Mytilus edulis: one gene and its partner. The protein of the gene in region 2 interacts with the protein of the main gene of each other region in a pairwise test. Links are inferred from orthologs where the notes say so. Each region holds a gene or a part of one and is shown on either strand. Other genes may lie near its edges.

Evidence for each region.
Region 1: the proteins of tyrosine-protein kinase Abl-like (region 2) and epidermal growth factor receptor substrate 15-like 1 interact in a two-hybrid assay, tested with the Caenorhabditis elegans proteins (2 studies listed by BioGRID). The link is inferred for Mytilus edulis from reciprocal best matches to the Caenorhabditis elegans genes abl-1 and ehs-1.

What each region holds. Positions count from the first base shown.
Region 1 is NC_092344.1:33,430,802-33,448,153, forward strand, and holds the start of epidermal growth factor receptor substrate 15-like 1, read right to left. Parts: upstream 7,436-17,352; 5' UTR 7,400-7,435; coding exon 7,373-7,399; intron 5,889-7,372; coding exon 5,844-5,888; intron 5,192-5,843; coding exon 5,102-5,191; intron 4,330-5,101; coding exon 4,186-4,329; intron 3,696-4,185; coding exon 3,624-3,695; intron 480-3,623; coding exon 396-479; intron 67-395; coding exon 1-66.
Region 2 is NC_092345.1:30,622,245-30,639,768, forward strand, and holds the start of tyrosine-protein kinase Abl-like, read right to left. Parts: upstream 7,243-17,524; 5' UTR 7,008-7,242; coding exon 6,890-7,007; intron 41-6,889; coding exon 1-40. UniProt on the Caenorhabditis elegans protein: Functions downstream of migratory protein mig-13 and is involved in Q neuroblast migration during larval development.

The DNA of each region.
Region 1 (17,352 bases), on a different chromosome or scaffold from region 2:
GTCTACATCACTTAACTCCCAAATATTTTTTAAAACATCTACAGGTAACTTGGAATTCATTAACATCTGAAAAATAGAATAATAACATACTAGTCTATCATACTCAGAACAAAAAGTTACTCTATATATACTACTAGTTTACATGAAGCATCATCTAATCATTACATTTTATTGCAAATAATTTTAAATTATATTTTAAATTTATGCTTATCAGGTTATATTTTTTTCAGTTTTTGAAAACAGTACATTTAATAATGCCAACACAAGAAAACTTATGAAGTTGATGGAAATTAACTGATTCAAAATTATCAGGATAACAATTTTAATATTTTATATTATCTACAAGTCTAACTTTGTCTCCATTAACACTGAGCTTATTCTCTGTGAATACTTACGGGTCTAACTTTATCTCCTGACAACAGTCCATTAACAGGAACCAAACTATCAAACAACTGATCATATTTGGTTTTCTCTACAGCCTACAAAATAACCAAACACAAATTATTCTCATAATATTGTTTAGAACTACATGTTTATTATTTTCAATATCTAAATTCATTTCGTTATCTTTTTAATCTAAATGATCATATTTTGAATTGAAATATGTATTAAGGTTTATGACCCCTTCTGTAGCCATTTTTGTACGAACTTTTCAAACTTCAATTGTATAACCAGATGCTCCGCAGGGCGTAGCTTTATACGACCGCAGAGGTTGAACCCTGAACGGTTGGGGCAAGTATGGACACAACATTCAAGCTGGATTCAGCTCTAAATTTGGATTGTGATTAAATAGTTGACACAGCATAGGTTTCTGACACAGAATGAATGTGTGTTCTAATGACCTTAAAATTTTTGTTTTCTCTTAGAGCAATTCACTATGCTGTTGAATATTAATCCTCTCAAAAAAATGTTTGAAGAAATTTTCTTTTTTATTTATGAAATTTCAAATGAGAAAAATTGAACCCAATTTTTTTAATCACATCCCCCTTTCCCTTATTCCAAAACTAATCTCAATTAAAATTTCTAATGGAGTTTGCAACAATAACTACTCATTTAAATACATCATAAAATATTAAGATGTAAAAAAAACTGCTTGTTATCACTGAATGGTAAAGATTATTTCAATTTATCAGTTGGTAGTAAAAAGTGAATATACATTGTATATTGTATATAACAAAGATTTAAGTTGATTCTGGACAAAGAAAGATAACTCCAATTAAAAAAAAATCTTGCTATTGCACAATATTTTGCAATTAGATATTTCTTGCTTACTATTCTGGACAAAGAAAGATAACTCTAATTAAAAAAAAATTTGCTATTTCACAATATTGTGCAATTAGATATTTCTTGCCATTGCGCAATACTGTGCAATTGAAAAGACTTGCTATTGCACAATACTTAATATAATAATTTTAGATCCTGATTTGGACCAACTTGAAAACTGGGCCCATAATAAAAAATCTAAGTACATTTTTGGATTCAGCATATCAAAGAACCCCAAGAATTCAATTTTTGTTAAAATCAGACTAAGTTTAATTTTGGACCCTTTGGACTTTAGTGTAGACCAATTTGAAAACAGGACCAAAAATGAAGAATCTACATACACAGTTAGATTTGGTATATCAAAGAACCCCATTTATTCAATTTTTGATGAAATCAAACAAAGTTTAATGTTGGACCCCGATTTGGACCAACTTGAAAACTGGGCCAATAATCAAGAATCTAAGTACATTTTTAGATTCAGCATATCAAAGAACCTAACTGATTCATTTTTTGTCAAAATCAAACTAAGTTTAATTTTGGACCCTTTGGACCTTAATGTAGACCAATTTGAAAACGGGACCAAAAGTTAAGAATCTACATACACAGTCATGACAGTTAGATTCGGCATATCAAAGAACCCCAATTATTCAATTTTGATGAAATCAAACAAAGTTTAATTTTGGACCCTTTGGGCCCCTTATTATGTTGGGACAAAAACTCCCAAAATCAATACCAACCTTCCTTTTATGGTCATAAACCTTGTGTTTAAATTTCATAGATTTCTATTTACTTATACTAACGTTATGGTGCGAAAACCAAGAAAAATGCTTATTTGGGTCCCTTTTTGGCCCCTAATTCCTAAACTGTTGGGACCTTAACTCCCAAAATCAATACCAACCTTCCTTTTGTAGTCATTAACATTGTGTTTAAATTTCATTGATTTCTATTTACTTAAACTAAAGTTATTGTGCGAAAACCAAGAATAATGCTTATTTGGGCCCTTTTTTGGCCCCTAATTCCTAAACTGTTGAAACCAAAACTCCCAAAATCAATCCCAACCGTTCTTTTGTGGTCATAAACCTTGTGTCAAAATTTCATAGATTTCTATTAACTTAAACTAAAGTTATAGTGCGAAAACCAAGAAAATGCTTATTTGGGCCCTTTTTGGCCCCTAATTCCTAAAATGTTGGGACCAAAACTCCCAAAATCAATACCAACCTTCCTTTTGTGGTCATAAACCTTGTGTTAAAATTTCATAGATTTCCATTCACTTTTACTAAAGTTAGAGTGCGAAAACTAAAAGTATTCGGACGACGACGACGACGCCAACGTGATAGCAATATACGACGAAAAATTTTTCAAATTTTGCGGTCGTATAAAAACTACAGATATAATGAAAAATAGAGATAGGCCATTTTGTATATATACCAAGGGGAAACTTGATGCAAAGCATTATTATTTACTGTTTCATTGAATTTAATAGAAAAAGAGTACTTTGTTGCAAATAAACCAAGATTTTTATAGAAAATCCACAGCCTTTAATACAGAGATTTTTGTTATAAAATTTGAAACAGATTACTCATTTGCTTTTCTATGATGTGATAGTGTTTATTTTTTACAGAAAATTCTAACCAACCTGTAAATTCCAAAATACCTCATGCTGTTTTACTAAAGTGGAGTGCACCCTGAAAGGTGTACTTGATTTGTTCCATATTTTTATTTGTTTTAACCAATAAATACATCAATAAACTTGTATTAAGGAAATCAATGCTAGCACTGCATGCAATAATCCTATATCAATCAGTCATCAAATTGACAAAGGTTAAAAAAAATAAATATGAAGTTCAGTTGAATAATAAATTGAATAATAGCACTGTAAAACTCCATCAACTAGTCAGGCTGCTATGAACCAAGAAACTGATTATACAAAGACCATGCAATTGGCTTTACACACAGATTGGGTAAATGTAACATCCAGGGGGAGGAGACTGACCTACTGACCCTCAAATAACATACTAATTAATGTGTAAAAGTATTAAAGAGATCTGGTATCATATTCTGCTTTCTCTCTCCTACAGTGATTGTTTATGACATGTATCTGATTAAGAAAAGATTAGTGTGCCTCCTAGTGAGATTCCAGTTGTAACTTCAAAGTGTCAAATATGTATAATTAACCTCAAGATATAACAAGTGGTCCGTGTATGTTAATTAATTGCATCCATGATGTCAGCATCTTTATTATAAAATTAATTACTTGTAAACTGAAATGCTTTTCTGTTTGTATAAACAATACTTAAATTACATATAAGTAAATAATGTGTTCCTTTGGTTTTCATAATTTGATACAAAGAAATACTAACTGAAACTTTCCATGGTACACTGGTAGCATTCTGTACAGCTGGCTCAGGCTTTGGAGTCAAATCAACTGGTCCCTGAAAATGAAAATCATAAAATACAAGCCATTGTCCTTATTATATTGTGTTAAAATGTTATTGTAAGATGTGTGTTTATGTTATTTTTTATTTGTTTCAAATTCTTTTAGTGAAAAAGATTCATTGTATTGAAAAATCCAAATAATAGCAGAATAATTATCTACTGCAATCACAAATATAAGTATTTCTTTACCCAAGCAAACAAGATAACAGCAATGACTTAAAAAAAACCTGAGTTTTAAGATAAACTGGTAACTCTACTAAAGAGATACTCCTGTAAAAAGTAAAGATCACCATACCATATAATAAGCTATGAAAGGCATTCACATATTGTGCCATTATGGAGTCAGGCTATCTTAACAATGTACATGTGTTATTCATTGATGTTTGTCCTTGTTTGTGCTTCTTTTTTTCATAGAGTTGTGTGTCAACTGTACATGTATGTATAAGCAATGAAAATTCAAAATTAAATGAGTAATTTTATACATACAACATTAGGTTGTGGTGCATCAATTATCAGATTCTGTAAATTTAAGTCCTGGTTGCTCTGTGATAGTGCAACCAACTTTAAAGCAACATAAAAGCCTGGTTTCTCTAAGTATCCTTTTCCGGTTGGATCTGACAAATCCCATATCTGCAAAAGCATAAAATTTATTCTTATCATACAAACTTCATCAAATACTTGCAAATGATTTCTTATCAAATGAGCTTCATAGCTTGCTGTTTGGTGTGAGCCAAGTCTCCATGTTGAAGGCCGTTTTTTTTTTTTAACCTAAAATGGTTTTCTTTTACAAAATGTGACTTGGATGGAGAATTGGAAGTCATACCATATCTTTTTTATATCTATTTACCAATTTTGTACTCATTGCATGTCATCTATAATGGCTCACATTTTGATTGAACAACATTTTCTACCAGGTACATGTATACCACCAATCACAACTATCCCCAATCTCATAAATAAATGTACTCAGAAAACTATATAACCATATTGCTAGTCTGTTCGGCTTGAACCTGTTAAGGTTCTGTAATGTTTTCTTCTAAAGCTCTGTGGCTAGTTGCATATTGATGTGCAGTAATTAGCAGTTTCATTCTCTCTTTTATAAACTATTCAGAATTATAGCAAACCATCAAATCCTATATTTCTACAGGAGGAAATTAGAGGTTGAGTGTCTTATTGTTCTTTGTGGTCATTACTAAAATGCATTTTTTTGTTTTTTTCCCTTTACACACAAAATTCAATAACAGCCATTTTATCTAATTTTCTAAAATCTAAAAGCTGCAAGAAATACTACAATATATAAGATAAATCAGCTAATTTTTATACCAAAAGACAGTTAAATTGTATTGAGCATGATGGATTTAAAGAACAATCATTTACTTTTTGCAGATAAAAATTACAATACCTGTCCCAAAACTGAGTCTTTGAGTCCAGATTTCTTCAAGAAATTTGCAGCATCTAAAGCTCCTATGCTCCCTGTTCCTTTTGGATCAGCCTATAAATACATAAAAATATATAATTATTTACAAATATACTTTCAAGAGCGAGTCTTTTTAAAAACGAGGCAATTCAAATAAATATCAAAACATGGTCAGAAAAAAATGACCAACCTTACCATGCTATTCTGAACAAACCATCATCCTGAGCTAGAAATAGTATGTCTTTTGTTTCTGTATGTCTGATAATTCAAAAGAACTACAGACATGACAGATAAGTTTTGGTTAGAATGAAGCAAATTACAGAGTTATCACCCCTTAATTGTTTATTCATAGTGCATTTCAAACAAACTGTATCTTCTATTACCAGAACAGGAAACGAAAAAGAAAGTTATTTTCGCACATTTCTTCCTTTTATGAACTGAAATATTAATCAATGTCAATTTATGTAGGTCTCTATTTGTCAAGTTTTTAACACTGCCTGATTAAGTTACGTGTTGTACAGCACATGCATACATATGTATAATCTTATGTTTTTATCTTTAATTCTGATAACCCACCATGCAAGAGCTGTATAGCCAGTCAAGGTCTTTTACACTCCCATTTATATAATTCTGTTGCTTAGCTACATTTGTATACATCACTTTAAAATAGTGCTTTGCTAAGTAATAGTACATGTATCTGATGTAGTGATCTAACATTAAACAATACCTGATTATAATATGCTTCATAAACTAATGCATGGTTACCAGCAATCTGAAATTTTTAAAAATACACAGTATCAATAAATGAAATTCAAACTATAAATTGTGTTATCAATTTTTTTTTTCTTACATATGTAGAGTACTAGAAGTTTCAAAAGAGCCTGTATTGCTCATTCAGCATCAAGATCTTTGTCTTATGAACGGTCATCTTCATCTAACAAACCTTCATAAATTTTTGTTATCTTGCTTACATACTTCTTACCTTTTTTTTTTACATGTTAGAATTAAAAAACATGAATATACATGTACATGTAAAAATTATAATATGATGTGAGTAAAATTAACATCCTTTGGACAGATAAAAAAACAGCTGATCTGCAAGGTATACGATCTGGCAGTACTTGACTATACAATGTATCTCATATTCAGTGTTACAACCCAACATAAAGCCGACAAGGAAAGGTAATACTTGACTAATGAAAGCTGTATTTTTATATAGCCAAGTTAGTTAAGTGGTGTTTGGTGCTGGAAACAGTAATACCACAATGTATCAGATATGCAGAGGTTCAAATGAGTATAAGCTGGTTCATTCGGCTAGATAACCATGATAACAAGTTTACCCATAGAGTCAGTTAGACCTGGGTTCATTTGCCATGTACTTTTACGAAGAAAAAATAATTAAATATTGATTGTAGAAAGGTTTATAAACTTATTCAGATATTTGTATGGTAAATATTAAAAAACAAAATGAAGAATATATACATTTTTTTGAAAATCAAAAAGGTTTTTTCAAATGAACTAATCATATTAGTCACCTTGTGACGGAAAACATAATTTATATCTGGTAGCAGCATTACAATCATGACAATATTTTCATCAAACTTCAACATATATTTTTTTTTAAATATTTTAAATTAAACAACAAGACATCCATGAAATCTAAATAATATAAATACGATATTCAGGCAAACAGAACCAAGGGCAAACGGGTATGTGGTGGAATAGGCACAAGGGAGAACAAACATTGAATCGTTCAAATCCTGCTTTATGCTAATCATGCAAATGCAAATTTGCACATCTAGCTTTGTTGGACTAAAATTTGAGAAAAGCAAACAAAGATGTACTATATGAACTTATTCTTCTTCTTTGTTACAAGTCGAACTCTGTACTAAAGTGTAAAATATGTGTTAAGTGATCAAACTAGAAGGGGACATGATCAAATAATAGTACAATGTAGTATCAGAAAAAAATTGTGTGTTGGGATATAATGTATGGCAGCTAAGTTTGTTTTAGTAAGATTCTTTAACAATTAAACTTATTTAGAAAGAATCAAATACACAAGAAGAAAGAACAATTATATCTTACGCCCAGAAGGAGTTATAATTTGCGTGTACTTGAGGTCAATTGTCTAGTGCAAAATATGATAAACGACTCGACCATTGAAATACATTTTCTTACTATTTGCTTAATTGTTTACGACAAAGTGTGCATAATGGCGAAAAGTATCGCCTTTTAATGAATAACAGAGTTTCAAACCTGTGGAAGTGGTGGAAAATTTGACATCCTTAACCGGAAATGTTCGTGTGCTGTCTAATTTTTATGTGAAAAAACAGTATCGGTCCAACTGGAATTTCCGGGTGAATTAGATTCAAATTCGTGTTCCTAGTAAACTGTAAATCTTAGCAAGACCGATTGATACAATTAGAGAATTTGTGTTCTTGGCAATCTCAGTTATTCGAGGATTTACTGTAACATTTATTTTCTATCTATGAAAAAGTTACCTAAAACTGTGGTACACACCGAATAACAGCGTAGCACTAATAGTCCAGTCTAAACTAAAAGTTAGGTTAATTAACAGTTTGCACCACTTCTTTTATATTATTTTGAGAATAAAAAAATAATTTTACAGTTATTGCTTACTACGTAATTCTCAATTACATTTTAGGGGAGTAAATCATGAAAAAACGTTGATGATGTCATGATCACATGACCAAAATTATGTCAGTTTATAAAAGAAGTGTTACGTCCAAAATGTAATTATTTAATGTCAGAAATTAAAACAAAAGCAAACTTTTGAGAGTCAGATAGACTATATGCCAGGCAGCAGTTTGATTTAATTATAGTACAGCATGTACAGAATGTGGTCCACAATGGCGGATTTAAGGAGCAGAGCCGGCCCAGGTCCTCAAGATATTGAGCTACATCATGATTATATACTTTAATGCAAAGACTTTTTACAACTTGCACTCCAAATGTTGCCAGTTGTCGCCGGTCCCCTTTATTTTAAATTCTCGATCTGCATCTGGTTCATTGAAACTATTTTTTACTGATTATTTTTTTCAAGTTAAACTGTGGTTAATTGGTATTTTTAATTGGTCACAGAGACGTAGATTTCATTCAGGCAGCGATGGCAACCATCGGCCGCTCACCAAACGGCTTGTCAAAGAAATAGGAAGGTATAAGAGAGATACGATCAGTGGCGGGTCCAGGGGGGGGGGGTTCCGGGGGTTGGAACCCCTTTTTTTGGACGATCAATGCATTTGGATGGGAGCTCATAGTTGGAACCCCCCTTTTTACTCTAGATTGGGACCCCCTTTTTGAAATGGCTGGATCCGCCCCTGAAGATGTGCAAAGTTCATGTATATCACATATCTACTGTATAAACTTAAGATGGTTAAACAAATTGACCTCAATACCTTTACACACGTGTTACTCGTTTTTGACTGAAAGACAGAGTAAATAAAATAGTTCATTTTTGTTTTATAAAAGTGACAAATGTATACTTAAATAGCATGCTTTAAGAACGAATAATTTATATAATTTAAAAAAATCATTGATTGTTCCAAGATGTTAGAAATTAAAATTTTTGGCATTATACCTATTATGGTTGTTTGTTTTTGTTCCCACATTGGTGTCAATATAATGGAATTTGTATACGACTGTCAAACAAGTGTGAGGTTTAGCTTGTCATGACACCAGGTTTAATCCACCATTTTCTATATTAGAATATACCTGTACCAAGTCAGGAATGTGACAGTTGTTATCCATTCGTTTGATGTGTTTGAGATTTTGATTTAGTCAATTTGATTAGGAACTCCCCATTTTTGAATTTTCAGTTTTTTTTAATTTTAATTTTATGTGCTCTGCATTTGAACTTTTATACGATCATATTACTCACAGGCGTTTAAACCAAGCAATATAAAAAAGAAGATGTGGTATGATTGCCAATGAGACAACTATCCACAAAAGACCAAAATGACACAGACATTAACAACTATAGGTCACCGTACGGCCTTCAACAATGAACAAAGCCCATACCGCATAGTCAGCTATAATAGGCCCCGATAAGACAATGTAAAACAATTCAAACGAGAAAACTAACGGCCTTATTTATGTAAAAAAAATGAACGAAAAACAAATATGTAACACATAAACAAACGACAACCACTGAATTACAGGCTCCTGAGCCTACATGACCCACCGCTTTGAATGCGGTTATACAATTGTTTGCATGTAAATGGTATAATTCAACAATTATGCATTTTTGATGTTCTGTTTTTTCCTTCTTATATATTTGATGTCTTTCCCTCAGTATTAGTGTGTGACCCGGATTGTTTTAGTTGAATCGATTCATGACTATTAAATAGTGGTATTCTACTATGGCTTTGTTAAATATTACTAATTTAAAAAATCTATACTACAAAAAAACCAAACGACAATCTAATATGTGAGGTTTTTTGGTATTTTTTCATGATGAAACATGTGAAATTACAGACTGCAGTATTAGACAAAATAAAAGGAAACCCTTGTCCATTCGTTTGGTGTGCCGTATGAGCTTTTGATTTTGTCATTTGATAAGGGATTTCCGTGTTGAAGCTTCCTCAAAGTTCAGTATTTTTGTGAGTTTATTTTTTTTGTTAGATTGATCGAGTCAATACAAATATAATACGATATATCAAAATTGATTTGGTTAGTTAAATGCTGCTCTCACAATTACCGCTTCAAACCTACCAGTATTTTAACTTTTTTCACAGGGGTAATGTTTTTCTATAATGATCCCAATATTTCATATATTCTATCTCACCCGATTATGCGGTTGATAAATGACTTCTTTTGACTTCCTTAGCTTATGTAAGTAATCTATCTTGAGCTAAATTGTAAAATATTTATTCGTTCATTGTATGTTAACTTGTTTTTGTAAATATGTCTTTTATTTTTAGTTAATCCATTTCAATCTAATTTTTTTAGGTATTTTATAGTGTGTCTTTTTATGTTATTTTGTTACACTTCTTCCTCAGGCTAGTGTGAAGGTTAGTGCCTGTTATAACCTTTAAACCTGCTGCATTTGTTTGCACATGGTTGTCGTTTGTTGATGTGGTTCACAAGTGTTTCTCATTTCTCGTTCTTTAAATATATTAAACCGTTGGTTTTCCTGTTTTAATTGTTTTACACTAGTCATTGTGGGGCTTTGTTGCTGCTGTTCGGTGTGAGCCAAGGCTCCGTGTTGAAGGCCGTACTCTGACCTATTGTGGTTTAATTTTACCAATTGTTTCTTGGATGGAGAGTTGTTTCATTAGCACACATACCACATCTTCTCATATCTATCTTAATAAAAATAAGAAACTAGCTTTCATAGATCTGCCTACTCGAATACTAACCATTTTATAACATGATGACGATTGCATGAAGTGTAGTATGCTCTGGTGTTTCTCTTTATATAATATTTACAAGTATTAAACAAGTGTAGATAAGTGTGGATAATATGTTAAGATGTCTGACAGTGTTTTCTGACAAAAATATTTAAATAAGGTTCTATGTTTAACTGTGTTGCACAGTGAAAGTCAAACAGATTCGTTTATTCAGTATCTAATTTTATGTTCAAGACTGTCATGAAGGAAACATTCATCTGATGGATTACCAGATTCTCAACTTTGATTTTGGAAAGAAGCAAAAACTCTAGTTTAGGGAAAAAAAACATATTAGATGCATTTCTGCATGATGTGCTTTTATATATGAGATGGTATTTATGTGATTGCATCTCCCTATCGTTTACGACTGATAATTTAGCTAGTCTGCAATCAATTCCATTGTCATGCCTAATATACTATACTGTGTTACAACTCTAGATTCTACTAACGAGGAAAGGTAACACTAAGCCACCGAAAGCTGAATTGTTAGTTAAGTCTACGTGGTCGATCGGTCTTGAATGCAGACGGTGTTGTCTCGATATACCCATGAACAAATTTGCGGATATACTATTGTTGTGCTGATAATTAGAGTAATTATGAATATAATATGTGTTTGAAGCCGTGTATCCCCTTCACTGGTCATCCAATGGATCTTTAGTAGAGTTGTCACTTGTTTGGACGTACTAAGACCCCTCTACAACGAAATTTGTTTTACATGCACACTATATAAAAATTGCGGTTTTTATAAGTGTTGTCAACGGTTAACCGTTTGAACGACCGAATACCAAATACGCTAACCGGTTAACCGGATATTTTTTCACTTTTGATAGATTTTAACTTATTTGTATTGAAATCATCAATTATGTTTTCTTTAAAAATTGTCGTCTTGGTAATTAAGTTGACAGATCAATTGTCCAGTATATTGATTGCTATTGCTTATCCAAAAATAAACAATTAATTAGAACTTGTCTCTCAGCTCGGGGCAATTTCTTAAAGAAACATAATTAGTATATAAATGTTTTTTTAACAGAAACTTTAAATCAGTAATACGATTAAATTTTACGATTTACTTCATTATTTCGTTTTTGATCTAATATTGTGTAGACCTACATCTGAATTTGCAATCTCCTAGTCTTACTTTAAACGGAATGCTAACTCAAAAATTGTGATATGCAAACCAGTGTGAATGTAATCGATGTATACTTGATAGTACGAGTAACATGCTAAATCATTTTAAATTGAAGCATTATTTTCGGAGACAACAAGCCAAAGTGAAAGAAACATCAGTTTCAGACAATATTAAATTCTACGAGATCAAGAAGGTTTTTTTTCAATCTGAAGTTAGTACAAACGCCATAGTTGATACAGTGTATTTGATTATTAAAAGTCAAACTTCGCCAGGAATCTTCATAGAAAATCCTTACAACACCAAAGGACAAACTTCAGTTCATCGTATTATAAAAGCGTAAATGTATGACTTGGATAGAAGGTTGCCACATTGACACTCATACCACATCTTCTTATATCTATGTGTAGGGTACTATAGATAAGGCTATCAAACATCAACTTAAACTACCGGTTAATCGGTCGAACGATTATCCGAGTAACCGGTTAGGCAAAAGTGTACGATTTGACAACACTAGTTTTTATCCAACGCAATCATTATCATAGGTTTGAACATTGTTTTTAATTTAGACTTGTTTATATATACTAGTATATATGTATATATATTGGTGTTTAACGTTAAGTATAATCAGAAGACTATCAAAAAGTAATAACCGTTGACCAGTTGTTTCAACCCGTTTGATAATTAGGCCAATATATATTTATAAATACAGCTGTACTAACATTTGGACATTTCTTACAGAGGCTAAGTTATTTAGCTGATATATGTTTTACTTTTTTACCAAACAATATAACTGCTTTGGTATTTTATCATAGTACTTGTGTAGGACTGTACAAGTTATCATTTGTTTTCCCCATTTATATTTAATTGATAACGGAATACAATATTGAAAGGACACTTCGAACATTCCTGACTGAATGAGAAATTAGAAATTACGGAAGCATAATAAGCTCCTGATTTTTTTTTTTATTGATATGGGATACTAGTATTTAAAAAGATATGTTTCACGATAAGTATAACCAGTATATCACCTGAATCAAGGCAAGAACCAAACACTGAGGTAATCGCATGAGCTCCAAAAGAGAGGCGAAAGATACCAAAGGAACATTCAAACTCATACGTCGAAAACGAACTAACAACGTCATGGCGCCAAAAGGAGCGAAACAGGTAGCGTCTCGGAGTAAACATCTCCTGTTATGCATGCATTATCCGCAATGGGTATCCTCACTCAGTCAAAATGTCACTATTGGGGAATAGGTGTGGTTGCTTTTTAGCCTTTCTTTCCTTACGAAAAAGTTTAATAAAGACCATAAGGCAGGCCACATACCAAAGACATATGAAGTCCATATAACAGATATGCGGCCTATTGGAGTAATTACTATCCTTGGACCGATGTTTAGGTTGCGACATGGAAAATTATATATTCTGTCCATTAATTTTTAGGTTGGGTTTGATTTATAGACTATCCTGAATAACCAGGTCATTTTGGAACCTCGGTATTTCTCTGGATAGTTGTTTGTGGTGTTCATTGAAATAAATCATTTACTTTTTGTAGTCAATGTTGTACCTCCTTTGTGGGTGCGTTTTTGAATTCACTACCTCCTGGAAGGGTGATTGAAGGATACAGCAAGCTATAAAGGGCCCCAAAAATTACTAGTGTAAAACCATTCAAAAGGGAAAACCAACAGTTTAATCTATATAAAAGCGAGAAACGAGAAACACTTATGAACCACATCAACAAACGACAACTACTGAACATCAGGTTCCTGACTTAGGATAGGTGCAAACATAGAAAGACACACTATAAAATATCAATTGAAATGGCTTAACTCAATCAAAAGACATATAAAGGTCAAGTTACAGCAAATTGGCTCTGTCACAGATTTCAGTAAAATTTTGCATACAACTTTGAAAACTACAACCGAAAATCGAATTCTACTCCATAGATTGTTCTTAAAAAACTATATCTTGTTGATACATGAATTTCCGTTTTAATGGTGCAAAATAAAGATAGGGTCACCGACTTTGTTTTTACGGTATACATCATTCACAGTCGTGTTCTTTGTGAAAAAATCCCACGTCGGTGACCATAAGATTATTTTATATCATTAAAACAGAATTTTATGTGTCAACAACAAATAGTTTTTAAGAAAAATCTATGGAGTAGAATTAGAGATTTGATGTTTTTAAGCCAAAATTTTATGTGCTATCTATACAAATAATAACTTCTATTGAAAGAAATCAATCTGTAATATTTCAGGTAATAAAAGAGATAAACGCATTATTTTTTCGATTTTCATTTTTAGTTCATCGAGTCAAGGTTGCATGCAAAATTTTAGAAAAATCTGCCACATAGCCCATTTACTGTTCCTTGACCGTAACACAAGTGAACATACACTGAACGAATATTATTGATATATGGTACAATGTAAATACAAAATCAATAGAATATGGGATGAATAATTAAAGTAACAGTATTATACCGCTGTGAAATGTTAACGATTTCAGAAAAACAACAATAACCTTGAACAAAAATCCGCCATTTACAATAATATCATACACCGGTAAATGAAAATAATTTTGTTGTTAGGTATACAGTATAAAAAGAGAAAGGAAATATTTTTACAAATAATTTTGATGTTCATAGTACGAAGAAGTGAAAGTTTATAGTAACACCAAACACGTATCAAAGCTGGTATATAGACCAGATATAACCCTGAATAAGAAAACATTAAATAACAAAAAAAGATAATTACAAATAGTATCAACAGGTCAAATTAACAAGAAAGTACGATTTGAGAGTACTCGCAGTTACTGACAGCTAGTTAAAAGCCAAAACAATTAATGATTAAAATCATGCACCAGAGACTAAAAGCAACTAAAACACATCCCAGGTATTTAGTATTTTAACGTCATGGACAGTCAAAGAAGACAGGATTTGTGCAATGCCAAAAATTAATGTATCGACAGGTAGTAGAATAACCTCTTAATAGATAAAAATGAACGTGGGTGTGTCTTTATATATCCCGTTTGAAAAGAATACAAATTTAGTTATGTTTTAATTTGCTGATGACAAAATCGATATTAGTGCCAATGTAAACTATATTCAAAGATCTAATTACAACATTGGTAAGAAAACCTTTACTAATATGTTTGTGTAATGGTTCATTGAGTTTACACGGATCACATATAAGCCTGTACCTTTGCTAACTATTTACTTTTTTTTATATAGATTATTTGCCTCTTACGGTATGTCTTACTGAAGGGTTATTAGAAAACAAACTTTACAAATGCTTTTTCGTTAATTGCTACTGTGTAATTTAAGTTATGGCTTAAGTCGTTTCCATTTACAAAAATTCAGAAAAAACAATTTAACCTGATAATTTGTTCGAATAATTTCTTAACATCTTATTTTATGACATACGTATAACTTTCTGAATCATAATCGTTCAAAAGGAGGCGAAAGATATCAGAGGGACATTCGAACTCATATGTCGAAAATAAAAAGACAACGCCATGGCTTAAAAAGATAAAAAAAAAAAACCAAACCAATAGACAAACAATAGTACACAAAACACAACAAGGAAAACATGAGTTTAGGAAAGTATTCTCATACTGCTAACATATTTTTATTTATGAAAAATGTCATTAAATGGCATTCGTAGGTCACCAATATTAGTGTCTATAGGTAAGTGAATAATTGTAATGATAAAAAGACGTTAAATCAATAGAAAATAAATAAGAGAAATGAGATCTTTTGACGAACCAACGCTTATCCATTGTATCTCCGTTATATAGGCAACTGTTCGACTAGGAACGAGGAAAAGTGTTTATTAATCGTGAGGTCGACGTGTTCATCCAAATGGTGAAGTTGAAATCATCCCTTCGTAAATTTTACGGACGTCATCACTTGTTGGTTGGCCGTTATGGAATAACCGTTTCACAGATGATATCTGATATGTTCCTTATGTCGTAACTACAATCCACTTCCCTTTTCAACACGGATGTGACCTACCGAATTAGACTATTTACTGGGTTTGTAATAACATGAGCAACACGACGGATGCCACATGTGGAGCAGGATCTGCCTACCCTTCTGGAGCACCTGATATCACCCCCAGTTTTTTGGTGGGTTCGTGTTGCTTAGTCTTTAGTTTTCTATGTTGTGTCTTTTGTATTATTATTTGTCTGTTTGTCTTTTTATTTTTAGCCATGGCGTTGTCAGTTTATTTTCGATCTATGAGTTTGACTGTCCCTTTGGTATCTTTCGCCCCTCTTTTACAGTAACCTGAGACTACTATTACTGTTACAGTAGTCTCTACAGTTACAATGTAGAAAATAAATGTGTTTAACTGTTAGTTTTGCGCACACATTGTTGTCATTTTTTTTGGAATTGCATACGACTGTCATTCAATTGAGAGGTTTAGCTAGCTATAAAACAAGGTTTAATCCAACAGTTTCTACACATGGAATTGCATGTACCATGTCAGGAATATGAAAGTTGTTTTCATTATGCTTGATGTATTCAAGCTTTTGATTTTGTCATTTAAAAAGGGACTTTCCGTTTTGAATTTTCCATGAAGTTCAGTATTTTTGTTATTTTGCTTTTTCATCGGCGGATAAATGGGGAAGCCCACAATATTTGTGTACTATACTGGTACTGTGACTAACAATTAGAAAAACAACATACTCCGCCTACTTTTTAGGCTTATACCTCGAATTTGGCATAAGCGGTCATCTTAGTACCAGAATCTATGACAAACGAGACAAGTTGTAAATTTTCCTCCACCTTAACAGCAATTACCATCTTCACCTGCATATGAAATATACATGTCCCAACTCATTCGGCATTCTAGAGATTGCAGCTGCTACTCAGACTTTATAAAACATCACCAGTGGTTGATCAAAAGGTTGATAAACTAGGGTTATTTCAGAGACATCTCGTCTTTTTTTCTAAAAAGAATGTTCCTCGGAAGATATCACGACCTTGTTGATAAATATTTCGTATCAACTTCACAAATGATACACGATGGTCTTGAAGTATAAATTCTTTGTACTGACGTTGTAACCATCTTATTATTTTTCTTTGTTTATTTCTAAATTTTACTGTTTGGTCATTTTTTTTTTGTAATATCCTTTTGGTGTTGCTAAGTATTTTTACCTCTCGCTATTGTGTAATATTGTACGATGGTCATTTTGTGTATTCTTGTCTTTCTAATGCTAATGTGCTTTGACTTTATGCCATTTGGTTTTTCTTTGTTGACATAGTTGTTTTATTTTATAGTGAATAAGACTACAATGCAATGTTGAGTGATGTACCCTATCGTTAGACATATTTACTTAGTATGTCTGTTTTACTCGCACATTGTTGTCAATACATGTACAATAAAATTCTATGCAACTGGCATACACGTGAGAGGCTAACTATTAAACCAGTTTAATTTTCTGCATAAGGAAATGCATGTACCATGTCAAGAATATGACAGTTGTTTTCAATTTATTTGATGCGTTTGAGCTTTTGATTTTGGCATTTGATAGTAAAGGGACTTTCTGCTTTGAACTTTATTTGGAGTTCACTATATTTGTTATTCTACTTTTTATTCATTTGGAGATATTTGAATTATTTCGAATAATTTTTTTTATTTAAGAATAAAATAATTAAATAATACTTGATCTGATACCCTTCTGGAGCACCTGCGTTT
Region 2 (17,524 bases):
AAGGGGGCATCAGGTAGTGGGCGTGTCTGCAGCAAGGAATCTGCAAATAAAAATTTAAATATTATTATAAAACATGTTTATGGAAAAATGGTAAATTGTGTACAAATTTTTACGTTCAATACATATACAAGTTATTGAAGTAGCAATTTCGTTCTATACACTATTTATAAAGTGTGATTTTTAAAAATACATTCATGACATTTGTGTGTGCAAAATGTGAAAGTTACACCTTGCACTATAAAAAAGCACAGGTGCATTCATTACATGGCATTTTATTTTAAAACTGGAATCTAATTGTCAGAATTAGTTGTAATTATACTACATGTATACAATTAGGCCATTTAGATCTAAGCAATAAATAGATCAATAATTGATGACTACTACAAGTCTGGTTTATAATTTGTCCAGTTCTCTCTTCAGAATCAATTCTAAATTGTCGATGACCATTTGTTTATTAGAAGTCCGTAATTATTTATCAATCACTAACAAGCATTGACAGATAATTGCTTCATTAATGGTCATCCTCTAGTCTTACGGTCATCCTCTGTTGGACAACAACCTTTTAATGGGTTACACCTTCAAGTATAATAAAAACAATGTCTATGTCAATTCTCTCTATACCTATATATTTAGCTACTTGTTTTCTTATGACACCCTGGTATAATGACATTTTTTAAATACAATTGGCTGCAGATATGGATACAGTGAGTGTAAACCATATTTTATAAGACATTAGAGACATTAATATCTGATGAAATCAACCTAAATTGCCTTTGGGAGTATTTATAAATACACACAACATGGGCCAATGGCACATAACTGGTCTGACTTTTTCTTATTTTAATCTCTTAATTTCTGATATAATTGATTCACTTTTTTTCATGTACAAAGTCAACAAACTGACCTCTAAGCCATTTGGCTCTTTACAAATAATTCCTTGTTAGCACACATGAGTGCACATGTGACAGGTCAATTAAAGGAAAACACATGTCTTTATAACAGTCTCATTTTTATTTGATCTTTATATGAATGAAGATATATATCCCAATGGGGTTTGATGGCATATATATAAAATCGATATTTTTAAGTCAGAACAGGTATTTTTTTTAAAGAAAAACTTGGAGACAATCTTGCAAAAAAATAAAACATTCTTTTTTTTAATGATTTTATACTGTAACTTCTGAAGTTTTTGCATGTGTTTATTATTGCAAATGCTGGACAATTGATGCAAGTGCAAATAAAATAGATATGAGAATATAATTTAATCCCACACATTGTGCCTTATTTTCTTGTGTAAGTAACAATGATAAGATCAAAGTTTGAAATTTTATCAGCTAAAAACTCTGCTATGAGGTGACCTTCCAGTGATAACCAGTGATAACAAAGTTATGTCAGAGACTCTCAAAACTGTCAACTGAAAGGGGAGAAATATATTTTAATGAACGCAATCAGGACAACATTACTTACAGCTGTTTAATGATGAGAAAAGAGTACCGAAAATGACACTAAAGAATACTTAAATACAAGTTAAAGTAACTCTATGAGTCACACGTACAGATCAGTAATTATTACATTCCCTGCGAATTATCTAATGCCTGCTACAATAATGTATCAATTTACTAAGTATTTTACAGGCTATGTTATGTCATCTGGTGCCTTTGCCTTCCGATACAAATGTAAGTCATCAAATTGAAGTATCTGTTGTATACAGATATAGAGGATGATTAGAATAAACTTATCATACATGTATAATTTAGGCCATTCCAAACTGAATAGATGTTCTTCACACTTTCTTGTACAAACACTGGAGGAAGCAAGGGAATATTTTAATTTCCCCCCTTTCCAATTTGAAATTAAGTTAGAGCCTAGAGGAGAGCATATCTTAAATTTAGTTAGAGCCTAGAGGAGAGCATATCTTAAATTTTGTTAGAGACTAGAGGAGAGCATATCTTAAATTTAGTTAGAGCCTAGAGGAGAGCATATCTTAAATTTTGTTAGAGACTAGAGAAGAGCATATCTTAAATTTAGTTAGAGCCTAGAGGAGAGCATATCTTAAATTTTGTTAGAGACTAGAGGAGAGCATATCTTAAATTTAGTTAGAGCCTAGAGGAGAGCATATCTTAAATTTTGTTTTACAAAACTTCAATTTTCATGAAGAATGGAAATATATAATAAATTTTCAAACTTTAAAACATACAATTGTGGGACTAGTGATGACATTTTGAAAATAAATAATTGATTTCATTTAAATTGAACAATAATTCTAAAAGTCTTTTGGTATTAGGGCAGTAAACCTTATAAGGTTTACTTATTTGAAGCTAGCCGGGATTTCAAAGGACTATGTCAAGATTCTGTTTCACTCAGTCAAAAAAGAAGATGTTTGATTGATTGTCAGTTTTTAAATTTAAAGGTGGAGAGAGTTGGAGTGCCTAGAGAAGATCATGACCTTCAATAGGAAAATGGACAATCCTAGTCATTTAAAATTGTGAACCTGAATGAGCGTGGTTTCAACTTACAACCTCAGTGTTGACTGGCTATATACTAGCTAGTGATGACAGTAGTAAAAACTAAAACTACTTAGACCTCTTAGCAAACGAGGACCCTCAAACAAGAAGAACTTCCAATTTCAAACAATCAATTACAATCAATATAAATGTAAGACAATTCCTCAACTTCATTCACATGTACATGTACATTGACTACCTCAAAGTGTAAGGTAGTTTTTTCCTCTAATTTACAGAAAACGCATATAGTTGTAGAAAATTGACAAGATTTAAATTACTTATAACCAAAAAATAATTTATACAACTGTGACATATGTCTACACCTGAACCTTCCTTACTTAATACGAAAGACAGAATTGCCTAAAACTATATAGTTTTATCATAGGCCTAATTAAGCTTGTAGAAACAAAGCCTGGAAGCTGTCTGCTTAAAAAAAGAGAATATTGAGGAAACATGACTCAGATGTTTGATGAATGGTTTTTGAATCAAAGACTTTTATATCAACAATACGGTATGAATTTAACAGGAATTTTTAATAATCTCAGCAGGTTTATCATGTTGTGTTGCAACATAATAATAAAATCAATACACAATCCTGTTATATCATACTTGGTCACACATCAAAAGGTGTCAAGTGCAAATATCAATTAATTATATTTCAGTAAATAAACATGTGAATTGTAATAGTAAAAATTGTGCCCACTTGTACAATCACTTGTCACAAATTTTGGTAAGTTCAATCTAACATTATCACATTCCAGTCACAAAACTTCACTGACCTATCCTCAATCAACCACACCAGCTACATGTAGATTTGTACCATGTTACATACATGTATACTGTACAATCTACCTTGCATGTTGTGAATTTGTCTTCCAATAAATTTACTATAAATTCAGAAATTATTGAGATTGTTGAAGAACAGACAAAAATGTGAGATATATGCAATACTTACAGAGGCCCATTAATAAAACATCGCAATAATTTCTGAATTTACAGAAAATAAGTTTGTTTTTTGGAGGGGAAGGGTTGATTCATATTTTTAAGTGTATCCTCACTCCCAGTAAGGTGGGTCTCATTAGGGTCTAAGCGTGACGCGGGATTGCTGATATTTTGTAAGCGTGACACGTGAAAGTCAAATTATTGTGTCGTGAAAACGGGAAATGAGGTCTAGCAGGACCCGGGAAATGACATAAAAAGGAGAATTGCTTACGTATATAGTGTAAGCAGGATACGGGAATCTGACAAAACAGTAAGCGGGATCCGGGATCGGAACCCCCCAATGAGACCCCCAGTAAGGTTGTCTTATTGTGTACTTATTAACTTATTTTCAAAACTTAGGAAAAGATGTCCTGAATCATATCAGTCTTCTCTAGCTCATGAATCACATTATGCAGCTAAAAATAACAAGAGTTTTTCCAAATAACTAAATATCATCAGAACTGTCCAACAGTCAACTGTATAAATAAGGAATTAAATTATGTATTATGTAACTCCTGTCAAATGTTTGAATCAAAGTAAAAGTATAATAAGTAAACAGTTTCTCACCGTTTTCCTTAGTTTTTGCCCAAAACACAAGAGGCATATGCATAAACAAATGGACTTATAAGACGATCACTCCTATTAAGAGTGTACTGACAAAAGCGGTAAAATTTAACTAGTTTATCATGGTTGCAAACTCCATTAGAAATTTGAATTGAGATTATTTTGAGGGAAAGAATTTCTTTTTGGAATAAGGGAAGTGTGAGGTGAAAAAAAATTAGGGGGGGGGGGGGGGGGGGGGAGGTCATTGTCAGATAAATCAAACTGGAAACACTTTTGTACACCTTAAGCTTACTATCATTCCATACAACAAGTATGCTTTAAATATAGTTGACCTATTGTACAACAAAGAAACAAACTTGACCCGGAAAACTTAACAGTGATCAATGAACCATGAAAATGAGGTCAAGGTCAGATTATCTCTGCCAGACAGACATGTACACCTTTCAATCATTCTATACATCGAACATAGTTTACCTATAGCATACAGAATCTAAGAAACAAACTTAACCAGGGAACTCTACATCAACCAACGAACAATGAAAAGAGGTCAAGATCAGAGGATTTACCAGTATGAAATAAAACCCAAAAATCATATTTGGAACTTTTATACAATATTAAAAGACAATAAATGGGGAATGTGTCCATGGAACACATAGATGATGCCCTGCTTCCATATCATATAAAGTTATAAATGGACATAACTGAAGAACAGTAAAAGTGACACTACCCAAATGTGGAAATAAGTATTGTGTATAAGTTTCATAACAGTTAGTTGAGGCAAACTTAAGTTAGAGAACAGAAATGAAAAATTCAGGAATTTGTATAGGGCATACATGTAACTCTTTAACAGTAAAAGTGATGCCACCCAAATTCAAACTTGATCTGTGTTTTGTGGTAACAAGCATTTCTTGTTTGAATTGTTTTACATTTGTCATTTTGGGTCCCTTTATAACTGACTATGGGGTATAGGCTATGCTCATTATGCTCATTGTTGACAGCCATATTATAGTTGTTAATTTCCGAGTCATTTGGTCTCTTGTGGAGAGTTGTCTCATTGGCAATCATACCACATTGTCTTTTTTATATTGTGCATAAGTTAAATATCCTATTTGATTTAGGGAAACTAAAGTTAAAGAATGGAATAGATAAATTCAGCATTTTTATCATATGTAAAGGTACACAACTCTAGAAATATTCAAGTGACACCACCAAAATTCAAACAATAAACATTGTGTAGACTGTAGAAGTTTCATAACATTTGGTAGAGGCAACCTAAAGCTAGCTAAAGGAAATCAATTTTGGGACATACAGACGGACAAGGGTAAAACTTAATGCCCGCTTCGCTATGGCAGGGGCATAAAAAATTTTGAATGGTGGCATCAGACATACATGTATTCTAAGTAACCTCAAAATCTTACGGGAATGTATGTGATGACTAGTTATTCACTGGGGGAAATCGGCTGTTTGTACTCTGTTACGAACCGCCCAATTTGGCAGATGGCAGTATCTGTAAGATTTTATATTTCTCAAATACTTTTGATCCAAAGCATTGACAATAGAGAAAATTAGCAATTGTCTAACCCGAATAATTCAGTCATTGTATTCTGCTTACTACATTAACGCCTGAATGCATAGACAATGAAAAATCTTCAATCAACCATTCGGAATTAGCTCGGGATTTACTTATCTCAACAAAATTTAGCTAATAGCTGATTGGTCACCTCAACTACAGGGCACAATTCAAAATCCAGGATTCATGAAGTTTTTATCGTGTTAGGAATTCAGGCCCTCGCAAGTAGGAAAGATCAATTACGGGGAGGGACTGTTGAAGGCCGTACATTGACCTATAATGGTTTACTTTTATAAATTGTTATTTGGATAGAGAGTTGTCTCATTGGCACTCACACCACATCTTCCTATCTCTCATCTATCTATATAAAGATACCAGAGAGAGATACCTATTGACTGTTTGGAAAGCTGCCTTGAAGTTCTCGACTGTATTTGTGCGGTTTTCAACTTAAAATAATTGAATGCTACATGTAATTGACTGGTACTCAAATATATTCTTATACTTCACTTATACCTGTTGTCATCCATCATCGATACTTTTTTAGACTGATAAAATTTATCACCAAACCCTCCAAAGTCAATATAGTTTATTCCATATTTAATTTTTGGGAGGGATCTTCGTAGGGCCGGATCGAATTGGGCCGGATCAACTTAACAGGGATAGAACTTAAGACTTTGGCAATGGTAGCCCACAGCTTAAATTTTGTGGTCCACATATATAGTTCTATACAAGAAAAGCAAAAATTTAAGTAGCCCAAACAAAATTTTAGGGGCCATTGGCCTGTGGGCCCCTGCTAATTTCATCCCCTGTGACTATGGGCCGGATCATTTTGGGGCCATACCGACCGGATACCTTAGTTCCAATCTATTTTGTTCTTAACAAAGACAGATTTCTTATATACACGACATGTAGATTGTATTATATGAAGAGGAACATGTTTCAGGTGTATGACATCAAGAAATAAAGCTGGGTTACTTTTGAGGTTTTAAGCTTCAAACCAATTTCAGACAACTAAATAAGTTACATTTCCTCACAAAACTCCTTCATGCATGACCATGTTACTTCTGGCTGCCTTCAAAAGGAATTGTTTTCAATTATAAATTTGAGCAAATGCAATGCATTACAAGAACACTTTTTCTCTAGTAAAATGAATATGAGGTTCGTTTGCCTGTAGAGTTTTTTGTAAATTATTTCAAGAGATAAAGTAAATCTTCTTATAAATCTCGAGTGGAGATATGAGTCATGTCCTATAAAGGGTTCACAAACTTACCAGTCGGATCTGTAAATATAGAAGGATTTCCGGGTGATGGTCGAGACTGATCTTTTGTTTTACTCTTAGGTTTACTTGAGCTACTACTTTTTCCTTCTTTTCCTTGTTGTGCGCCCATTCTTCATTTGAACAAAATAAAGGGTGTATATTAGCCCCCTACACCGCTCATGGCACTACAAATGCTACGCTACATTATTTGTACTTTTAGGTCATGCTATTATATACTCAGGAAACATTATCGATAATTGCATAAGGGTTTTATAGTCAAAATTAATCAGATTTGTATATCATTTCCTTCCCTTTTCGGTGGCCGCCATATTGTCTAATTCCAGAACGAGTCTATTTTTCCGAATGAGGTGACCTCATCACGAAAATGACGTAGCATCGCAAATTTCGGGAAACCCCTTCTAAAAATAAATTTGACGAAAAAAGAGATAATTTACCAAATATGGTAACTAATCAAATCATGGTTTGACCGAGATAAAAGTCGATGTCAGTGTACCAGACAAAATAATCTGATATTTTATTCTTAGGAAGCGTTAAAGAATAGAGAAAACTGGTATATATATGAACAAAATATAAAAACCGTAGACCCAGGTAGCACAAAAACATTTTATTGATATTTTTAAAATATCTTGCAAAATATCACCAAAATATCATTCAAAAACATGTTTTTGACGTGATATGTCTGGCTGTACTCATGTGAATAGCATATTTTCTGGAAATATTTGTTCTGAATGTTTAAAGAGCATTATTTTTAAATATCTTGATTTTATATTGAAATAACATAATTTTGATATAATTCAGTTTCAATTGAAAATATCCAGACAACATCTTTCAAACATCAGGACAAAATATTCTTCTAATGTCTAGGATATGTTTTATTGATGTCTACTTAATGGTTTTTTTTAAATACAGTCTGTCAACCTTATTCTCATTTTAATAAAAGTTAAGGCATTGGATTGAATGATTATAAGTCAATTCATAAATTCTACTGGTTAATATTATAATAGAGTAGGAAAATTCACTCGTGTAATGATGTGTTGATTTACAAGAAATTGAAAAAATGAAAGTATATTCAAATTGTATTTGTTGTTTTGTGCTGGTTTTAAATATTTTTTGTTTGTGCATAAAATTATTCAGATATTTAAATGACTACACAGATTTGAAAATGTTAGATAAAGAGAAGGAAGAGCACATTTTTTGTTAGAACATTGGAATAATATAATTTTCAAGTATGTGGTACAAAGGGGGTGAGATAAGTACCTAATACGTTGGCATATTGTTGGCACAATGTTGGCTTATATTTCTTTATTGGCATGAAATATCAATCATATTTTTTATAAACACTGTTTAAAAAACTTTGAATTAGGCAAAATAGAAAGAATTTTCTAGTTCTAGGCACAGATTATCGTAGTCCTATTTGGTATGACTTTATCATTTTGATTTTTTACTGGGTCCTCAATGGGGATTATGCTCTTAGAACACAATCGTTATTCGCTAGATAATTTTTCTTTTGACTTGATTTGAATTTTCATTTAAGTTAGATTAGAATTGTGAGGCAAAATAATTGAGCCGAGCGAAGCGAGTCGAAATTTTTTTTTGGAGGGTATGAAATGAATGGTGCAAAATCCTGCATTCTAGGCATTTTTAGAGAGTTTGATAATGTTTTGAATTTGGACACTTTTTATACAAATTTTTCATATTTCAAGACATTCACGAACACCAAATTTTTAACAACTTTATTTAAATTTATATGTAAGATAATCATCCAAATATCACTGATTTGAGTCTGCTGTCAGAACATAGAACATCGATTGATTAGAGTTTGCCAAATTTTTCTATTGCCGGTTCAGTCAAATCGTTTCAGAATCATAATTTGGTCTGCTGATATCCTTATCGCGATAAACACGGAGCATGGCAAGACCGCACAATCTCTCGCCACTCATGCATGCTCTTATCCAAGTTTTCAGTCGTTTCAGGGCAGTCTGTGTTTCTAAAGGTAGCAAATTATCATCAACACAATGATCAATGTCTCCTTCCAATTCCTTCTCCATCAGCAATTCGGTAGCAGCATCGGTAGACTAGTAACAGTTTTGTATTTGTATTTTGGAATTAAGCTTTCCTGTAAGCACCATCATATACAGTCGCAGTTTCAAAATATTAAACTCGCTTTTATGCTGACAAAGAGTATACAAACTAGGGATAGAATGAGATAAGATACAGGTATATGATTTTATCTATAGAGTAAGTATATCTGGTATGGGTACAGGGGAAATTGGACTGGAGTTTTTGACGTTTACATGTAAGTCCGTAATTTCCGATTATTTCTGGAAATAGTTGGTGGTATTTTAGTTCCAGAATCTATAAATTTAGGGGTTAGGGGTGTTCCGAAACCCCGAATTTAAAGAAACGAAATTCCGTAGTCCAGAATAAGTAAAGACAAAATCCTGTGTTAAAGGTTCTATCATTCGATCCTCAATAATATCAAATTGGAATATGGGATATTCTTTCAATTTTTAAGGTTAAAGAAACATGGATAAAAACTAATCCATGGAGGTTTCATATTATTTATATTTTAATAATCTGTAAAGAAAAAGATTAAAGTTCGTGAAATGAATACGCAGACAGGACTGTAAACTGGACCCCTGTTGTGTTCACTTATCGCTACACTGACGGTGCGAAGCTATAGATAGAACGGCGGACCAGTTTAACAGGACTGCCCCCTTGCGATGCCCAGTACTTGATTTGTCAAAAGTTGGTGAAACGGAGAAATGAATACGCAGACAGGACTGCCCCCTTCCGAAGACCAGTACTTCATTTGTCAGTCTACTTATCGTTTTTGGATTGTACTAATGAAGTTGTATGCAATACTCAGACTCTGTTAAAAAAAAACTAGTTTACTAGAATTATTCCTTATTTACCTTCAGTGTCGCTTTTCCTTTTTCTGCAAGAGCCTGTTTTTAACTAGAGATCCATTATGATTATCGTTACTAGGTTAATGTAATCGAGAAACATCACCCGTTAAGATGCTGAGTTATATCCAGGAAGAATAGTTTAAAAGGAATGATGCCAAGTTATAGAAATCAAGGTTGAGACAGAACAACAAATGACTATTATATTTATATAAATGTATAAAAAAAATCAGTGTTGAAATTTTAGTGAGGCATTGCCTCACTTGCCTCAAGGGTAGCTACGGCCTTGAATGCTCTTAGAACACCATCGTTATTCGCTAGATAATTTTTCTTTTGACTTGATTTTAATTTTCATTTAAGTTAGATTAGAATTGTTAAGACTTTTCTATCAAAAATGAGGAGACATTCATGTTAATCTGATTAAAAAATTATATAAAAAATATTTCTTTTTCATATCAAACATCATGGACTTCACACAAATATCACTAACAAACATAAGAAAAACATTTGTCGTACATCTTACAAATATCAATTAAAAATATTATGTAAAAATGTTTATAAAATATTTCTTTTTTCATATCAAACATGTGCTTCATTCAAATATCACTGACAAACATTTGGAGAACATTTCTAGCATGCTGTACATCTTACAAATATCTATTAAACATATATCTTAAAACTATTATGAAACAGTCTTTAACTAATATTTTCTAAATAAAATCGAAAAAATATATTGTTATGATGTTATTGAAATATTCATTAGATATTACCATTTTTATATTTTTGATTAGGACAAGAAAAGTATATTGATGTTACATATCAAAAAGATATTTTATTATACATCAAACCTATGCTGATTAATAAACAGCTGGACTCTTAGGGGAAACATTGTTTAATAACTTTTTTATATAATGTTGTATACATGCATAATGCGTTTCGTTTTATATTACATGTAGCTGGAAATATTTTTCCAGTTGTAGATCATACATTTGTATTAATTCTGACTATATGTTATATTATTAATTGTTTATATCTCTGTACCATGGATTTTGGTTTATGAGAATAAAGATATATGCTTTACATAGATGTAAATCAAAAATGTTTTATAAATATTTCTTTTACACATCTAAAAAATATATATATTAAATGTTATATAAAAATGTCCATCAGATATTGATTGAATATTGCAAAGAAATATCCCCTCGACATACAATTGTTCTCATTTATAAAACTGTCTATTTAACGTTTTAAAAACATCAGCAAAGAATATTTATTATTCATTATAAAAAAATATTTACAAAAAATGTGTTTATATTAGCAATCAAACATTGGGACGAAATATTATTGTTAAAATATCATTAATGCATCATTTCTGATGTAAAAAAATGTCTTTAAAATATGTTTTGGTAAATATTTTTGAAAAACATATATATAACCAGTCAATAATATCATGAAAATATTATGTGTTAGCTGGGGAGATTTTGTTATGAAAAAACTTATTGAAAGAAAGAAAAAAACGAAGTCCCCCAAATCAAGACACTCATATAGGCTCTCCCCTAGGGATGTGACATAATAGAGCAACATTATACTATTCCAATATTTGATTTTTGGTAGAGAGGTTAGTGGAGGATGATCTGGGAAATTAATATTTTAGCCTTTATAACCTGGGCTCGAACTATTGGTATATTGCTTAAGTGCTTACATCTTTTGAGCTAACAAAAATAAAGTTGCCTGTAAAATTATGTTGGCATTCGAGGAATAGGTGTAATAAGTTATCCTAGAAAAGTGCACGCTGCAAGTTATCAAAACCATCATATTAATTTAACAGATAGGTAAATTAGAGGTAGCTAAATCTAATTCATGTTTCTCAAGTTGTTGAAAATACTTTTTTGCTGTTACTGCTTGAACAAATATTGATTCTCTTAAAATGGAACTTTGCACTTTTTTCAAATCCCTTATTTATCTGAAACGCGCGCAAGTTCTGTTTTAATTATTTTTTTTCAACCGTATTTTGGTCTCAACGCTTAATATATAGGTCATAAACTAATCAAAACATTTATTAAATTTATCATCGGTACAAGGACAGCATTCGTAACTATAAATCAACACGTAGACATCTTAAACGTTCAGGTATTTCACATCCAATATTTGATGGTAATATATATTCTTTCAGTGACAAAGCACAAAAATGTTGGCATTTACCTCAAAAGCTAACTAAACAATAAACAGAATTATTCGGAGAGGAAAAAGTTACAAAACTGTTGTCAGGTCAATAATTATGTTCTTCTCTTATATGTTATGATGGTATAATACTAAACCCCTAATGGGAGGGATTGAACTAGATTTTCATATGATGAAGACATAATCTTTCAATCAGTTTAATTGATGTCTGAAGCTGGCATGGTAGTAGTCATCATTTTGTTTATTTTCTTTGGTTACATCTTCTGACATCAGACTCGGACTTCTCTTGAACTGAATTTTAATGTGCGTATTGTTATGCGTTTACTTTTCTACATTGGCTAGAGGTATAGGGGGAGGGTTGAGATCTCACAAACATGTTTAACCCCGCCGCATTTTTGCGCCTGTCCCAAGTCAGGAGCCTCTGGCCTTTGTTAGTCTTGTATTATTTTAATTTTAGTTTCTTGTGTACAATTTGGAAATTAGTATGGCGTTCATTATCACTGAACTAGTATATATTTGTTTAGGGGCCAGTTGAAGGACGCCTCCGGGTGCGGGAATTTCTCGCTACATTGAAGACCTGTTGGTGATCTTTTGCTGTTGTTTTTTTCTATGGTCGGGTTGTTGTCTCTTTGGCACATTCCCCATTTCCATTCTCAATTTTATCTTTGTTCATTTATGTTCAATTGTCATTTTGCTTAGTTCCTTTTGTTACCTATTCTGACATCGGACTCGACTTCTTTTAAACTGAGTTTTAGTGTGCGTATTGCTATATATATGTGTGTTTCTTCATTCTGCATTTGCTACGAGGGAGGGGGGATCTCACAAACATCAAGAGCCTCCTGCTTTTGTTAGTCTTGATTTTTATTTTCCATTTTAGTTCATTTCTATGTTTTGGATTTTAACTGAACTAGTACACAATTTTATTTAGCGACCAGCTGAGGACCACCTATGGCTTCAGGATTTTCTTGCTGTGTTGAAGGCCCATTGGTGGCATTCGGTGTGCTCTTTCGTCGGTTTGTTGTCTGTCTTTAATTTTTGATATATTCACCATTTCCATTCTTAATTTTATTATCAGTGTAAGACTTTGAGTTTTTTTGGGACAACATAAAAGAATTTTATGATAATATTTCAGTAGGGTGTAAAAATTTTGAAAAGTTAAGCACAAGTGCCAAATTTAATTGGCTTTTTATTCAAGAAAACCTAGAGGTATTGAAAAATATTGCTATTTATATTAATAAATGTTTTGAACTGAGAAAACTAGCAATATAGTATAGATATTGTTTTATTAAAGATGTTGAGAATATTTGCCTGTTAATAATAAATATATTGTTACATATATGCCTTTTTATGGATATGGCTCTGATCTGGTTGTAGATTAATATCTAAGAAATTATATAGTTAAATTCATGTTTATGATCAAGTTGTGTCATTATTGTTTCATTATTGTAACAATTATAAAAATCATTGTAATAAGAAATTGCTTTGCTCTTTATGGGCCCTTTGATTGGAATAAAAATATCTTATCTTATCTTATACCAATATGTAGGATATAGCAAACAATGTAACGCACATAATTGAGTATGTGGCTGCTGGGTTTTGTTTTTTTGTTTTTATTTCCCCCGTCGTAGTGGAGGAGGCATTAGGTTTACCATTGTCCGTCTGTACGTATATACGTCCGTCCGTTCGTGCGTACATCCCAAAGCTTGTATCCATTCTCTAAGTTTAGTTTGCTTCAACCAAATATTATGAAACTTATACAAAATACAAAAACTTTGAATCAACTACAACTATGGACAAAGGAAGATAACTCCAATTTAAAAAAAAAATAATAATCAACTACAATTATGGACAAAGGAAGATAAATTTAATTTAAAAAAACAAATTTTAACAATTACATCAACTCTAACTAATGCTCTATACAATGCAATGTTTACTAAACAAATTAAAACAATCTTTACCCTTCGGTTTTTACAAGCAGTTTGGTCCAATGTTCTTCGGTTTTGTCCCTTTCTAACCTTATATCATATGCAAGCTGGGGGCATCATCTGTGTCCCATGGATACATTTCTCATTTGTTTCTTATGTTACGGTTTCTTATTCCTCACTGGGATACAATTTAAAGTAGTTTGTAAAATTAGATAAAAAGTCCTTAAATATATTAAAAAAAAAGTCAAGTTTAAAACAAATTACTAAATTACAAATGGATTGCAACACTAAGAGAATATAAAAGAAGGGCAATAAATCGACAAAATACAATCCCGGGAACAGAAAAAACACAAAACGAACTTAAAAACAAATGAGAAACATGGATCTAGAAAACAGCGGTTACATCAGAAAGCGAACAGAACCTGAATCTTGCAGGGAGCCGCAATACAATATGAAATGAAGGCAAGAAATATTTGAGGATGAAGTTGGAGTCCAATCAACTTGCAACTTAGTACTGTGACATGTTTCCAATGATATGATCTTTGTAATGTGATGTCAAACTAGAGATGGACCCCAATTTCACTGTCAACTGATCATTTTTAGAAAATGATAGTGCGAATGGGGCATCCATGTGCTATTTTTTGACACTATTTTTGTATATCTTCCAGTTTCTACATAACAAAAGACAATGATCGCTTTTATAATTTTTGTTAAACTTGCTTCGTTATATGTGTGATATTCCATTTTGTTATTTATATTAGATTTAAGATATTTATATAGATATATTTTACTATTTTTACGGCAGGTTATGAAAAAATATATTTTTTTTCAACAAGACATACATGTATCTAAAATTGTATTTTTACAGGGCATTCCGGTGTATTGCTATCGTCTAGATTTCCATTCACGTAATATTCGTTTTGGATTTTTAACTGATCTGTAAACATGATGAATACGTAAACGTCATCAAGTTCCTTATCGCTTGTTATAAATTCATTTCTTCAATGAATACTCATCAAATACTTTTTAAAGAAGATAGATTAATAATATTAAAAATTAAAAAATCATTAATATCTATGCACACGCATACTGAAGAATATCTCTAGAACGTTTGCAATCTTAAGGAACGGATAACTCTGCGTGGAGTCACTCTGAGAGACATGTTCACCATGCATTTGCACTGCACTTTTATTTGTACTAGAACACATCCGCGAAATCGCGGGTATATACAGCTTGTGAACTGTTGTAGTATGATTTTTTGGAAAATATATTATGTATGGAGAATTTCATAAAAGGTATCAAAAGCCCTCTCCCTTTTTCCAAAGTCCGATATTTGTTTCCTTTTTGTTAAATTTAATTATTTTCGTGATTCTGGTCTCAGACCACAATTATTCTTCTCCTTTGCTACAATGCTTCTTTTAGTAAAAGTCAAATCAAAGTGGCAGTCGAAATTTTCCCGACTATCATCCTAAGTGGCCTTTATCATGACACGACCTACCCATTGTATTTATTGTTTAACCTGTTCTCGTCCTGAACATGCATGAAATATTTGCCACTGGACGTTAAGCAACCAACAATCAATCACTCAAATCAAATTAAAACTTTGCACCGTTTCAAACATCAAATAAATGTTACTGCTTATATATAGACCATTATCATGATTATTAGTCTAATAAAATATGCTTCAAGGACAATCCATCAGTGCTTTTTCTTTTGAGAGCCTTATTAACATGCCAATGGTATAGGATATTAATCTTGTGGGAATCTTGTATAAATTACTAAAACAGACTAAGGCTTATTTGAGGGGTGGTCGGAGGGGTCCTGATCTCGAAATCCCGAGATGCAATATTTAAAGAAATTCATATCCCGAAATATTGAAATCGAAAAATATATTCCCGGATCCGGACCCGTAAGGATCAATCCCCAAATCCCGATCTTAAAATCACCCGATCCCGACGCACCGAAAAAGGTCCTGTCTCCCTCTAATCTATACCTTACTTTCATTTTTGCAAAATCACTATTTTCCATTTCAACAATAAATTTGTATGTCCCATTTATGAGAATTGTGTTTTCTAGTCTGTGCATCCGTGCGTTTGTTCGTTCGGTCGTCCGTCTGTCCATCTTAAGGTTAAAGTTTTTGGTAGAGGTAGTTTTAGGTGAAGTTGAGTATGTTTCACTTATTTTGATATATATATATGCAAGTGGTATGACCCCTTAAATAGTAAACATTTCAAAGAAAACAGTAGACAGAATACAGAGAGTCTTTATATATTAAAGTAGTATAATCGTAGTTTACATGTAGATAAACGCGAAAAATAAATGTCCTCTATAAGGAGGTAAAATAGTTGTAGTTCTTGCGATCTAAACACCATGATATAGAGACCGCTCTGATTGGCTTATTTATTTTTTATTTTTTGTTATCTATCATACGATTGGTTGTATTTGTGCGTGTTTCAAACCGGAAGTTCTATCATTATGATGACGGAATCATATCCGGACTCTTTTTTTGTGGTTTTTCTCCCAAAATATCTCAATCTGAGTAATCATAAGAATGGATGACAAATGCGACTATACACGTTACCTATAAGACACCGTGAGAGGCATGATGATTGATTTATTGTAGAAGGAAGAGAAGCGACACACAAAATGAGGTCTTCTCGTTTAATAGTATAGATAGTGGAATAAAATGATATACAAATGCATCAAAATTATATATACATGTAACTGTAATATACAAGTATCAGTATACTATATAACAATAACCCAGAGTGTACTGATTTGTATCACTACGCTATAATAGTCATAAAGGTAAGGAAAATTCCCTGTCATTAATTTATCATCCACGCACGAACTTGAAAAATGATATCTGTACATAAACCTCACTTTCATGAATAGAGATGTGAATTTTTTTCTGAGACAAGTGCTTGTCGGACCATCCACAAGAACTTGCGGTCATCCGATGTTCAGTACTTCAGTACTTTGATTTCATTTATTATAGAAATTAATGTCAGACATATACATATTTTTATTTGTTTTGAAATAAGCTACGAAATCCATGCAACTTATTGTAATATACTTTATTGAAAACAGACTTCAGTTAAGTAAAAGCCGCTACATATGTTGATTAGAAGTTTACATGAATAACGTTAGAAGAGTTCTTATTCTGCCTTGTCCAGCATGTAATTAATTAAAGAGGGTGGAGAAAATTTTAAGAATGGCTGATACCACCACTGCATGTAACCTACGCAATTTTTTTGCTTTTTGTACGTATAGGGGAAAATATCACATGCTAATACTGGACATGATCATTTGTTTATTTATACTGAAATAATTTTAGTATTTCTACTATTCAACATGTGATTTACCTAAAGGGGGATATGGGGCATCATAAGGGTAAACTGACCCCCATTGTCAATTTCGAGAGGTACATGGAAATATGAGCCAGACTTAGCTGTATCTGTTGCATCCTTTATCTCTAGTTCGATGGGATCGGATGCGTTCAACATAGTCACCATTTTTTTTAATTATTTAGTGAGAGAACATCATCTATATAGTCGAAAGTAAGGTTAAAGGATATTTCTAACATCTTATCTTTCTTCCTGAGAAGAAGTTCC